2 linked regions of the Drosophila melanogaster genome follow. Changing the gene in region 1 together with any one later gene gives a genetic interaction. Each region holds a gene or a part of one and is shown on either strand. Other genes may lie near its edges.

Region 1 (5,441 bases):
CGGTATTAATTACGCATAATAAAACTTTATATTTTGTTCGTTAAACAAACCCATTATTGTTTCACTCAGTTCCAAATCTCACACAACCAAGCGATAAACCTTTGAAGAAACGAATTTTGAATTAGTGACAATTTTTGCAAGAAAATTAAAACCAACTATACAATTACATATATTAATACCACATATATGCATCGCTCTCCCCATTTCAAGTTTTGAGTCATTTGCGGGAGAGTCAACTAGAATGGCATTGTACTCAACCTGGTAGGTCTGAGAAAATCGCTGTATATTTGTAATACTTAAATACTATGCATATCTATATCTTATACAGACAGACATATGTATAGTATCTTTAGAGGGTTAAGTAGGAAAGGTAACTGATATTGAATATTGAAAATATCAAGGCAGAGAAAGGTATCGAAATACCGGCAGATAAATGAAGATAACACAAGTCAAAACATATCAAACTCGTGCCCGATTAAAACTATATATACACATATATATACACTATATATATATATATATATATATATATATATTAATGAAAAGCAGGCGCAAATTAGGCGCAGCAAATTTCAAAAATAACAAAGAAGGAGAATGATAAAATTATTAAATATGCCGAAAGTCTAACGGGAAATGCAATTTTATTTGCATAACTCAACAGTTGAGTCTACTTTTATCCGTAAATAATACGAAAATAATGATTAATATTAATTGAGATATTAAAAGTAAAAAAAAAAAAATACAAGAAATGGCAAGTATTTGTCTATTTTGAGGCTCATTTATTTAACATTTTCGCGAAACCAAGTACGACCTTCTTTTTTCAAATCGAATAAAGATCTTTGCTAATATTGTAAAAAACAAATTGATTTTTCAAGCAAATGAAAACCAAAACGTATAGCTAAATATTATTATAAAACTTACATAAAACAGAAACAAAACTCGTATATATATATATATAAATATAAATATCAGCCTTGTTCTTTATATATATATTTGAAAAACCAAAAAAATGAAAAACCATACAAAATATTAATAAATTATTAACAACTATGAAAAAATTGATACAAAAAAAAAAAATACATAAAAAATATTTAGCGAAAATATTGTATTGTGAGTTTAAATGTATTGTTGCATACGAAACCAAAGAAATGACATAACAAATCGGTACACCTAAGTTAAATATAAATCTAAATGGCAATACCAACCGATTGGCAAAACAAAAAGAAAAAAAAACATAATATCATCTGATAATATCATATCAGATCGGATCAAAGCAGATCAGAGGAAATTCGAAACAGAATGAAAGGTGAACCATTTTTTCACAGACAGCCACCAGCGATAAGAACTAACGAAGTTGAATTCAATTAATTTACCAGACAGTTTATTTCCAATATAATTCAATATTAGCAGATGGGCTCGCCCGCCCGCAAGACAAATTATACAATTTGATAACGATAATATTTTCATGCGATCACGATCGAGGAGGAAAGCACAAACGATATGCCCTGCAATGCAAACGGGGAAAAGAGCAACAAATTGCAGTTTTCAGCAGGCGACAAATTATAATAATACAATACGAATAATAAATAAAAACTTTAACAATTGTTTTGTGTAATTGTAAAGAAGTGGAGTTCTTTTCACCGCCAGTGGGATGAATGGGATGTTTATGTGATGATGGTGAAATGGGTAAGTATTTATAATATGTTACAGATTGGACAAGATTCTTAGTAGTTTCTTATAATATCCATAAAAATGAAGTCAAACATATTTAGTAGAGTATAATATATTCGTTGTAGCCGCATTTAGTGCGCTTGGCTTATCAGCGACCTCTCTGTTCGACTGATCTTTTGCAATAAGTGGCTGACCCCTCAGATAGCAGACAACGTGGCGATAGGCTGTGTTAAAAACCCAAACACGACCAAATATTTACAAATCCAACTTTTAGATAAAACAGACAAACAGCAAGGATCTCAGTTTTCACTCGATTCAAGCGTTTTTACCTGGTGAAGAAATCGAAAAAGATTAAGATGGATTTCAATTTGCGACTGAGACACCCTGTATGAGCACAGCCGTTGATTGGATTGGATTCACTGACACTTATTTAGTTGTTTTCCGGCCGAGCAACTTGAAGGTTGTACAATGCGATCTCTGTGCTTCGTTTTGCTGTTCGTTTGGTTTTTCTACCAAAACGAAGCTAAGTCTAAGGTTTCCTGTAAGGATGAAGCTGGAAACGATGTAGATTGGTAAGTATTTCGATTAACAGATCAAACAATAAATAGTTTAGTTCTTAAAACATTACTAAATGTGCTTATTAGAAAAGTTACTTATAAATATTGGCCTTTCACATACTTTTTCATTTATCTGCAGTCGCTGTTTGCATATCATTAACAATTTGCAAACACAACGTATTTTAGTTATTTATATACACTGCTGTATTGAGATTATTCTAAAAGAGGCGATAAACAAATTGAATATGATGAGTTCAAGTTCAAGCGGAAAAATTGATAATAATTGTACAATACTGTGTGACAAGAAATTAAAAAGTAATTAGTGTGTTATTTTGTTTCCTAAAATGAGAGATTTAAATCAAAGTTGTTTGCTACAAACAAACTTAATCAATTTGATAACAATAACATCATTTTTAATACTTTTCCATTTCCAAAAATAGATTAAATGGTAATTATTTTTTTTTTTTAATATCTTAAAAACAAATTTCCAAAGATTGAGGGGTTTTCTCGATGAGATAAACATGTTTTTAATTTATTTAATAATTTTTTTTCAAATATTCCTTTATAATTTTAGGTGGCACCTTTACAAACTGCCCAAGCACTACCAGCACAACGATTTGGGCAAGGACACCAGTGGCTTGAAGTACCTGTACGTGACCAGCCAGAACTATGACACCTGGCAGATGTCGGGAAAGTTCATTAGTGATCCCCTATCGCTGCCTGCCCAGACCCTTAACCCCTTGAACGACGATCCCAGCCACACTCTGCTGGCCGCCTACAACGATCAACAGCCGAATGGCACGGTTTTCAGCAGCGGTGGTCATGCCAAAGGAGTGGTGGCCAGTGATGGGGAGACGGCTATTTGGATTGTCCACTCGGTGCCCAAATTTCCAACAATTCCGGACTACAGCTATCCCACATCCGGCGAGCAGTACGCACAGAGCATGCTCTGCGTCACACTGAAGGGCGAGGATTTGGAGAAGGTTGGTCAGATTCTGGTGTACAATGAACCGCACTTCTACTATCAACGCAACCCGCTGGCCACTCGCTCCGATGAGCTGTTCCCGAGCCTGGAAAGGGCTCTGCATGGTCAGTGGCGGACGGAATCACCGTTCCAGAAGGACTTGGAGGTGCGCAGCTTGGACGGCAAGAAGTTCCGGCTGTTTGGCAAGAGTGGACGCGCCAATGTGGAGCTGTACGCCGATGTGGTCGCACCCACTCTGGATGTCAGTCTTTTTGTGGAGGCGTGGCGCGACGGTGCCGGCAACTTACCGAATAGCTGCGATAAGTCCGATAAGGTTCTCAATGTGGAATCCATTTCCAATCCGGAGCTATCGGTGGACTTTAAGACCACACAAGATCACTCCAAGTGGGCGGTATCTCGTCCCACAGGCATTTTGATCTACCATTGGCGAGTTGGCGGCGGAGATTGGATTTGTGTGGGCGACATCAACCGGCAAGAAGGTCAGTTGCATCGTGGTGGTGGAACCGTGTGCCACAAGAGCGCCAGGGTATCCAATCTGTACCGCCAACTGGTCACCAACTACGACAAGTGCGCCCAACAGGAATAGAATCTGAACTAACTAAGACTATTTGTAAAGTTGCGTCAACAATTAAATAAACACCATTTTTGCATTACATTTAATGCATAAGAAAATTGAAAGATGTTGAAAAGAGGTATTATTTATACAAAGAACTTATTTGCATTTGTTATAGATAATATATAATAATTTAAATTTTAAATTTAAGGCGCCGTGCAACTTCTTTTCTTTTTCTTTCTGCTCTTTTCCGGACACTCGCTAGCGCCATTTCTTCAACGCACTCTTGTCGTACATTTTAGGTACTAAAAAGCGCATTGAAAACTAGGTGGCGCTCGTACTTAAACTTTTCTTAATTCTATAGCTGTTGCTAAACTATTTGCCAAAAAAAAAAAACATTGAAATATCAACAAACATGTATAAATTATTTACAAATGTGTCAATTGCATTTGGTTGCATCTAATTATTCATTTATAGCGCCACCTATCCGTCACTCTTCTACCCATTATTATCACATATACCAGAAAATGCAAATTCAGTATGACCATCAGCTGGAAAAAGAGCACAGCTGTTTACAAAAACAAAACCAAGCGAAGAAGCGAAAATTATTGGCGATTTTTAAAAATCCAAATTAAAACTAGATTCGGAGTCGGAAAACCTTCATAGATTTGGGAATGTTCTGCTGCCTACGCACCTGTCTCAATGGTGGACACATAAGGAAACCGACGGCAACCAGTCGCCTGCGGGAGCCCGATGTTCACCTGGATGCAGCGCATATGGGTAAAATTACACTAAATTCAGAAGGATTAAGATACACTATCCTTAAAATGGTCAACTGAAGCGATTGCGAGAGAACTAATGTGTTTTTCCAAAAGATATGTAGCTTCGATAATAAGTGATACCCCAATAAAGATATCAACATTCCCAATTTTATCGCACAATTCAGATACGTGATCAGATATTAATATATATGTACATACAATAGAAGTGCTTATATTCTCATTCAACAGGCTTAACCATCTTGTATCTTACTAATAATATGTATATCATATCATCCATTTGGCAGGACCTGATGTAATCCTGCTGTCACACCAACTGCGCGTAACGGGCACTGGCGGCGTCCTGGCCACGGCGCCTTTGGTCCAATCGAAGTCCTACTTCGAGGTGAAGATCCAGCACGGCGGCAGCTGGTCGGTGGGCTTGGCAACGCGTCAAACGGATCTCAGTCGCAAGAGCGGCGGCGGGGATCGAGAGTCCTGGTGCCTGTGCTCCGATAATGCCACACGCCACAATGACCGCGAGGAGTTCCGACCAGTGGTGCAGTCTGCTTGCACCACTCAGCCAGCGAGGACGAGCAATGGTATCCTGAACAATAGCGCTGCCAAAGCGGCCGGACTCATTGCCATCGAGGATTTGCAGCAGGAAGATCTGCTGATGACCACTGGAGTGGCATCATCCGATGTGGATATCGGTGATTCGTTGATAGCATCGCCACAGCGAGATTTTCCCGATGAAGGAGACATTGTGGGCGTCGCCTTTGACCACGTGGAGCTGAATTTCTACTTCAATGGAAAGAATCTGGAGGTTCCATTTCGAAATGTACGAGGAGCAGCACTATTTCCCGTCATTTATGGTGAGTTTTCGTACTCTTAAGAGAAGCTTATCACCATAATTA
Region 2 (6,590 bases), on another chromosome or scaffold:
TAAAATGGCCTGTCAAAATTATATATTCGGCTAATGCGCCTTGTGCTCAGTTGTATAGGAAACACGATTTTTGTGTGATTTACGATCGATTTGAGGCGAGTCGATTCGATTGATATGGGATCCCTGCTGCAACAGCTGATCGTCTGGAGTTACCCTATAAATATTTGTACAAGTGGGAAATGTGTTTTCCATAGGAAATGCAATACCTTCAGATTGGCTGTTGACTTTTCCATTTATTTCGCAAGTTTCTGTGGAAATAAACGAGTGACAAGCGGACCAAGGAAAGTTCAGTGCGCTTTTGTCTATGAAGCGTTTTAATTACCAAGCCGTTTCATTCAAGATTTTTAGGAATTGAAATCCCATGTGCAGTTCCCCTTCGGAAGACCAGCTACAAAACGAAAAAACCCCAATCCAGAAATCTGCATACCAAACCTCTTCTGGGCATTACTTCATGCAAATATCGCTGCAATTTTTAGCTCCATGGCCTGCGCTTTTTATCGTTTTGTTCTCTATTTTATAATATATGCGGTCAGATCTCCATGGCTCAGCAACATTTTTTTCGAGGGGCAGAACGATGAATGCCTCAGACGCTTGGCATGTGCTGACAAATGTGAAACTTCCCTAATCAGCATGGCATGGAAGAACTGACCCAATTCGTGGGCTCGCCAATCGAATGACGCATTCCTCGACGACTTTTGAACCGGAGAACCTGAGCTGCGTCGCGAAGGGGGTGGAGGGGCAGGCCACACTGGGCATCCAACCAAATGACAACGGACAAGCAATTCAATGTCCCAATGCTGGCGTAGCCAAATCCAAGTCCTTATCTAGATGTCCGGCGAACAGTCGCCCAGATCAAGTTGTAAGAATGCGAACATGGCAACAAATGTGCTCGACTCAGGTGTTAAAACTTTTGCATTAAAATGGCGCCCAACGCGGAACGGACACAGGCCTCTCGATCCCAAACCATGTGGCCCCCACTTCCTTTGGCTGTGTAAAATTAATACTACACTCGGGGAGGTCCAGCCCGATCAAAACTGAACGTAAATCTTAAACACTTTCGAGTTCTACCCTGCCCCCGTGCGATTCTCTGATTCTCCGATTCACCGACTCCCTGATTCTCCATTGTGCAGCAGGCTTTTGCAGTCGCACGATCAGCACGTTCAGTTCCGAGGGGATCTGCTGCTTCAAGGGGGAAACTGGGATGCTGGATGGTGGATGGTGGATGGTCGACGATCGGCAACCGGTCCACGACAAATGTGCCAGTCTCAGCAACAAGCCAGGCCGCAGAAATATCTGCAAATGCAGCGAATTGTGCGCAGATTTGTTTACAGAAGACTCTCCGAGTGGCAAACTGAGGGAAGACGGATTATCGTGGAGGGAGGAGCACCATGATCATCGTAGATATAATTGACGACATGTTGTCTCACGATCGTGCTAAAGCGATTAAAGCTAATTTAATGCCCGACTCGGAGATTCACTGCACCCAAAATGTATCCACCAAGAAGTGCACTCCCTCACTTTGAGGTCATGCTCGATTTTCTCTGTGGAAAGCCTTAACAAAATGCCATAATCAAATTTCTAGCTTCACTTTTGTTATTTCTTGTGGCTGAATTTGTTGTGGGATCGAATGGGCTCATTGTCGGAATTCCATTGCAATTCTATTGCATGTGTGCATGTCGCCTATTTACTTAAATGCACTTGTTTCACTTGCTCACTTGTAATTACATCCAGGCTTTTAAGTCAGTCTCTGTTGGGCCAAAAATCAAGTGTTGAATCAACATGAATTGTTTAGCACACGATTCAATTGTTTCGTCTCGACGGAGACGTATAAATAAATAAATACGAGACGGCCATGAAATATATATTTATTAGAATAAAAAATGTTAACCGCTATCGGTTTATGACAACTGTTTGTTTAATTGTAAAATATATATTCAGGAGAGGTTTAAAAGATATTTTACAAGTTGCCTACCTTAAAGCTTAACTCTTTTACTAGAATTTCATTTGGATGAAGTTTCAACACACTTTAAAATTTATGTGCTCAGTAATTTGCCAGAGCTGCCCCAATCAACATCAATTGGCTGCCATACTGTCTGAGCATTCTAATTCATTTAATCGAGCTCATTAGTGGCTCTAAACCATCATGTTTATGCTACCCAATTACCATCGGAAGTGATTCACTTCTGCATGGACGGAGAGATAGCCCTGTGATTTTGATTAGATGCCAATTTGTTTATGGCACTCACTAATCCGTCCACAGATCGGATATCCCATATACCATATACCATTTGCCATATTCCATATACCATGTCCCGTATCGGTTTGATTATGCCCAGCACACTTCGGCTCGTCTTACATGAGCATTTCGATTTTTGGGAGCTCCTTCTCTAATGCGTTACGGATCCATCGAACCCAATAAGTTTTAGGCGTTTTAAATTACCCGATATTCGCGTTGCGCGTTTTACGATTGCCATTAAATTTGCTGGCGGTTACCATTGAACAGGCCGAGAAACTCCAACTGATTAGCTTATTAATTTGTTTTATGTGCTCGAATGGTGGCGGAGTTGTTTCGAATTAATTTATTAATTTATGCGCATAGGAAAACCAACTTTTCAGTTGGCGTTCGCCCAGCGGCAAAATCTCATTCACAATGGGCATTGTTCGCCCGCATCCGAGAGATACTTACCAAAAAAAAAAACTAACATAATACAGAGAAAGAAACAACAAACTTTGAGGAAAAGTGGTTTTCGACCCACCCCTGTGCGATATTCTTGGCCCTTCGATTTGGGGAATGGGAATGGGCGGAGTCTAGGCGCATTCTCTGGCCGGCGGAGGGAGCGAGAGAGGCTGCTCCGAGTGCGCACCGCTCACACGAACTCGTTTCGAGTGCCGAGATACATTTAGCCGGTACGAATACGAATCCAAATAATCCGAGCCAGGGATTTCCACTCAAGCAGCGCCGCTGCCGCTTCGCTGCCGGCGTCGCATTGAGCCACAAAAGTCGGCTGTTTCGGTGGTTCAGTCGATTCGAGCCACTCAAAGCGAGCGCTACGGGAACGGTCGATCCGCCCGAAGTCGCAGATAAAAAACCTACCAGATACATTTCGTTCGTTCTGAAACGCTATAACTAAATATATATTCGATTTCAAAACATCGACCATACATTAACTACCTGAAACGGTCGAGTTCACTACCCCGCCACGCGTGTGTGTTTTTGTGTGTGTTGCAAGTGAAAGTAATCGCAAGTCCACAGAATGGTCACCCTAATGCCATACAACTACGCTGCCCCGCGATGCGGATTAATTGACAAAATGATCGAGCCAAAGGTAATCACATAGTCGTAGTGCTCTCCTCGCGAAGCTTTAAAAGTGATGTGGTTGAGATGGCTGTGCCGTCGGTTATTACTATTACTAGTATTGCTAGTGTTATGACTATGATGACGGCGGTAGCTTCCTTGGTGGTTGCGCCTTGTGGGGCTTCACCTAGTCGGGGAGTAGTATCCAAAAAGTGAAACTCCATGGCGAGATAACGCTTCGACTCTCATTTATCAAGCCTGGATGGAGTCTAATATATGTACGAACAACAGTTTAGGATGCTTTAAGCTGATCTATTGGTCGGTGTGATATCATAGCACACTTCATATATAAATCTAGTCCAGCTTGACAACTAAGTCGTGTTCAGATGCTATTCGATTTCATAAATCTAAGCGAATAAGTCGTGCAAATACACTCGAAGAAATACAATTTCATTGGGTTGCTTGAAAATGTATGGAATGTTACTCATTCACAGAGGATTATCAATTTTATAGACCCATCCTGCGAAGAAAAGCGCTTTAATGACTGCTCATTGTTGGGAAATCGTTAATGGGGATAAAGATTATGGGCACCTGACCAAAATTTTATTACAACGCATTAATCGGCTTAACTTTTGGCTGTGGGGTAATGAAGCAAACAAGTTGAGTCCCAAAAGGTCATTAAAAACGCTTAATAAAGTGCCGAAATAGTGACAAACGTTTTTCCAATTCGCTGCTGATGCATTTCTCCCATCAAATTACCAAAGCCTTTTCATTCACTGCACGCTTGCGATGCAAAGTCTGGCCGAGATTAGCGTAAAGTTCGTTTCCCGACGATTTAATGGAACGGCATTCTCCAGGCTTTTATGGGTCCCTAAACTACGGCTAAGACAAAGTCGGATCGAAGGAAACGTGACGAACGTGGAGTGGCCGGATGGCCGGATGGTTAAGGCGAAATATTAATAGAGCATAAATTACAGCTCTAGTGGGTCTCTGGGTGCCGGCTTTATGGGAATTTAAAGAGCCTGGCCCACAAAAGCCAGAGCTGGGCTACGGCATTCGTCCAGCGGCATTAATCACATTTTAATTAAGTTTAAGCCGTAATCGTAAAAATTAACACGCCATAATTCAACTGCGACAATACGCGCTGCATGTAATTTATGACAAAGAGAATTCACATCGGTGTGCGTGTGTGCGAGTGTGTGGGGGGGGGGGGGGCGGTGGAGGAGTCGAAATATTGATTATGGCCACTGCGATTGACACTTGGCGATTGTTGATTATACTACCACGATCGTGGCCCAAAACGTAATTAACGTGCCAAAGTGTTAAGGTGCATGGGATAGGTCCCATGCCATAGCAGCCCCTTCCTTCGATTCCACTTCGTCCACCAGAAGATACAAATTTTCCTCTTGTTTATTTTGATTTTTATCGCGGGGACTCGAGGGGGACTCAAGGGGGCTCAAGGGGTTTGTAGGGGTCTTCGGGGTCTTAGGGCCGGGTTAATAAAAAATTTGTCGCCGTCTTCTTGTCTTGTCTTTTGTTTGCCTGCCTTTTTGTGACCGAGTGTGTGTGTTTTAATCTTCTTCTAAAGCAGCAGAAGAGACAAAGAGATTACGATCACAGGAATTTCGTTAAAGATGCCCACAAACAGGTCTTTATACCACATATCTCCCACTCTTTTCCGCAGCTGGAACCAACCAAGCCGGCCCAACCAAAACCCCCCCAGATACTGATTCGAGTGTTGTCTGTGTTAATGTTTACGTTGTCAGCTTGTGCCATAAATTAGTTTAGTAAAAGGTTGCATTTGACTCTTCCCTTTCCCCCCCCCCTTTTTTTTGTTGGCCCCTCACCAGCTCACTTTTGCATACAACTTCGGACTCGAATTCGGTTGCTCGTGCAGCACGCAATCCTGCAGAATTCGCGACCCGAGATCGCAACTCCAATGCGCAGCTCATCGAAACGCTACCGTTCGGCAATCTGTCCGCTTGTCCGCCGCTGCGCATGCGCGTGTTCCCTTGGTCCGTCGACAAATCTGAGCAAACTGCGTCCTGCTGCCCCCCACCAGATCACCGGATGATGGACAGTGCGTGCGTGTGGTCATCTCGCCGGACGGCAGAAGCTGTCAACCGAAGCCGCTCAGCTTTCGCTCCCTTCCCGCCCTTCTTTTTTTGTTTTTTTTTTTTTTTGTTTTGAGGGACTTCTTTAGGGGTGGAGAGGCGCACAAATTCCAGCACCTGGGCTTGCCGCGCCCCTTAGTCCGCCTTCGATTTATCTGGCTTCCGTTCGATTTGCATACATGTCTTCTTAAGGGGCGTTTTTTTTTGACCATTTGTCAAAATCATTCTGGCAAAAGCTGAATTGTCAAAGCTTTATAAATATAAAACATAGTAAGTGGATGTAAAGGACGTTCTATTGTATGCCTAGAGACACAATCTTTCCTCGAAAGTCTGTATAGTTAAATGTCATCTTTGTTCCATCTAGCCATTTTGCATCCTTATCGAAATCCGCTGCCACCTGCTGCTTTTCCGAGCACTACCACCTCCCCCCCCCCCTTTCCGACTTCCCCTCCAAATGGCGCCGCACATCCGAGTAACAGTTGAGTTAAACTTTTTCCCACGCACAAGCTCGGGCAGCGAAAATCGCTTGGCGCAGCAGCAAATGGCGATTGCGAATTATGTAAAATTTGCTGTTTTCTTTCGCCACTCGCACTGGATAACCCAAATAGAGTTTCAGGCGGTGGAAGTGCCGAGCTCAGCAGGGCGATTCCACGCCAGACGCTGAGGTGTGAGTGCGTCCGCCTTGTTTATAAACAAATTCTTTCCAGGGCCGGCGAAAATCCAAAAAATTCACAAAAATTAACATTCAGTATAAGTATATATTTTAATGTGATTTTCTTCACTTTTTTTTCAGGTTAAACGTCCCAAGACAGACCACACGGATACACATGAACGCAACCGGTAGGTTCAAATAAAATAAAATATATATAAATATACTTATTCATAAACATGTAATTTAGGTACTTTTATGAAATAGATTTCTTAAAAGTGTAATATGTTCTAACTAAAACACATATAGGGGAAATAATAGTTTGCATATATTTATAGGTTGAAACCTAAATTATGAGTCTTTTACCAACTTGCTTCCCAGGATCCTGAAGAAAAAGGTTTCCCTCTCTGTAAGCGTAGACAATTTGTAGCAGAACGGCGAGAACATCCTAACACTTGACAAGAGGCTCACCATTTTCAATTGGTTTCGATTGAAAAGTGGCCATGGTCGGATCGTCGTAAGGGAAGGGAAG

What was found. A genetic interaction does not mean that the proteins touch.
Region 2: of DNaseII (region 1) and eya, changing one suppresses a phenotype caused by changing the other (phenotypic suppression), as found in Drosophila melanogaster (one study listed by BioGRID).

What each region holds. Positions count from the first base shown.
Region 1 is NT_033777.3:18,017,274-18,022,714, forward strand, and holds DNaseII (deoxyribonuclease II), read left to right. Parts: upstream 1-2,101; 5' UTR 2,102-2,139; coding exon 2,140-2,243; intron 2,244-2,802; coding exon 2,803-3,799; 3' UTR 3,800-3,888; downstream 3,889-5,441. Other genes in the region: CG7785 (uncharacterized protein), read left to right, coding at 4,441-4,546, 4,833-5,399.
Region 2 is NT_033779.5:6,532,565-6,539,154, reverse strand, and holds the start of eya (eyes absent), read left to right. Parts: upstream 1-3,043; 5' UTR 3,044-3,254; coding exon 3,255-3,326; intron 3,327-6,202; coding exon 6,203-6,249; intron 6,250-6,590. UniProt on the Drosophila melanogaster protein: Tyrosine phosphatase thought to play a role in transcription regulation during organogenesis through its intrinsic protein phosphatase activity. The phosphatase activity was shown in vitro. Appears to function together with So and Dac in eye development.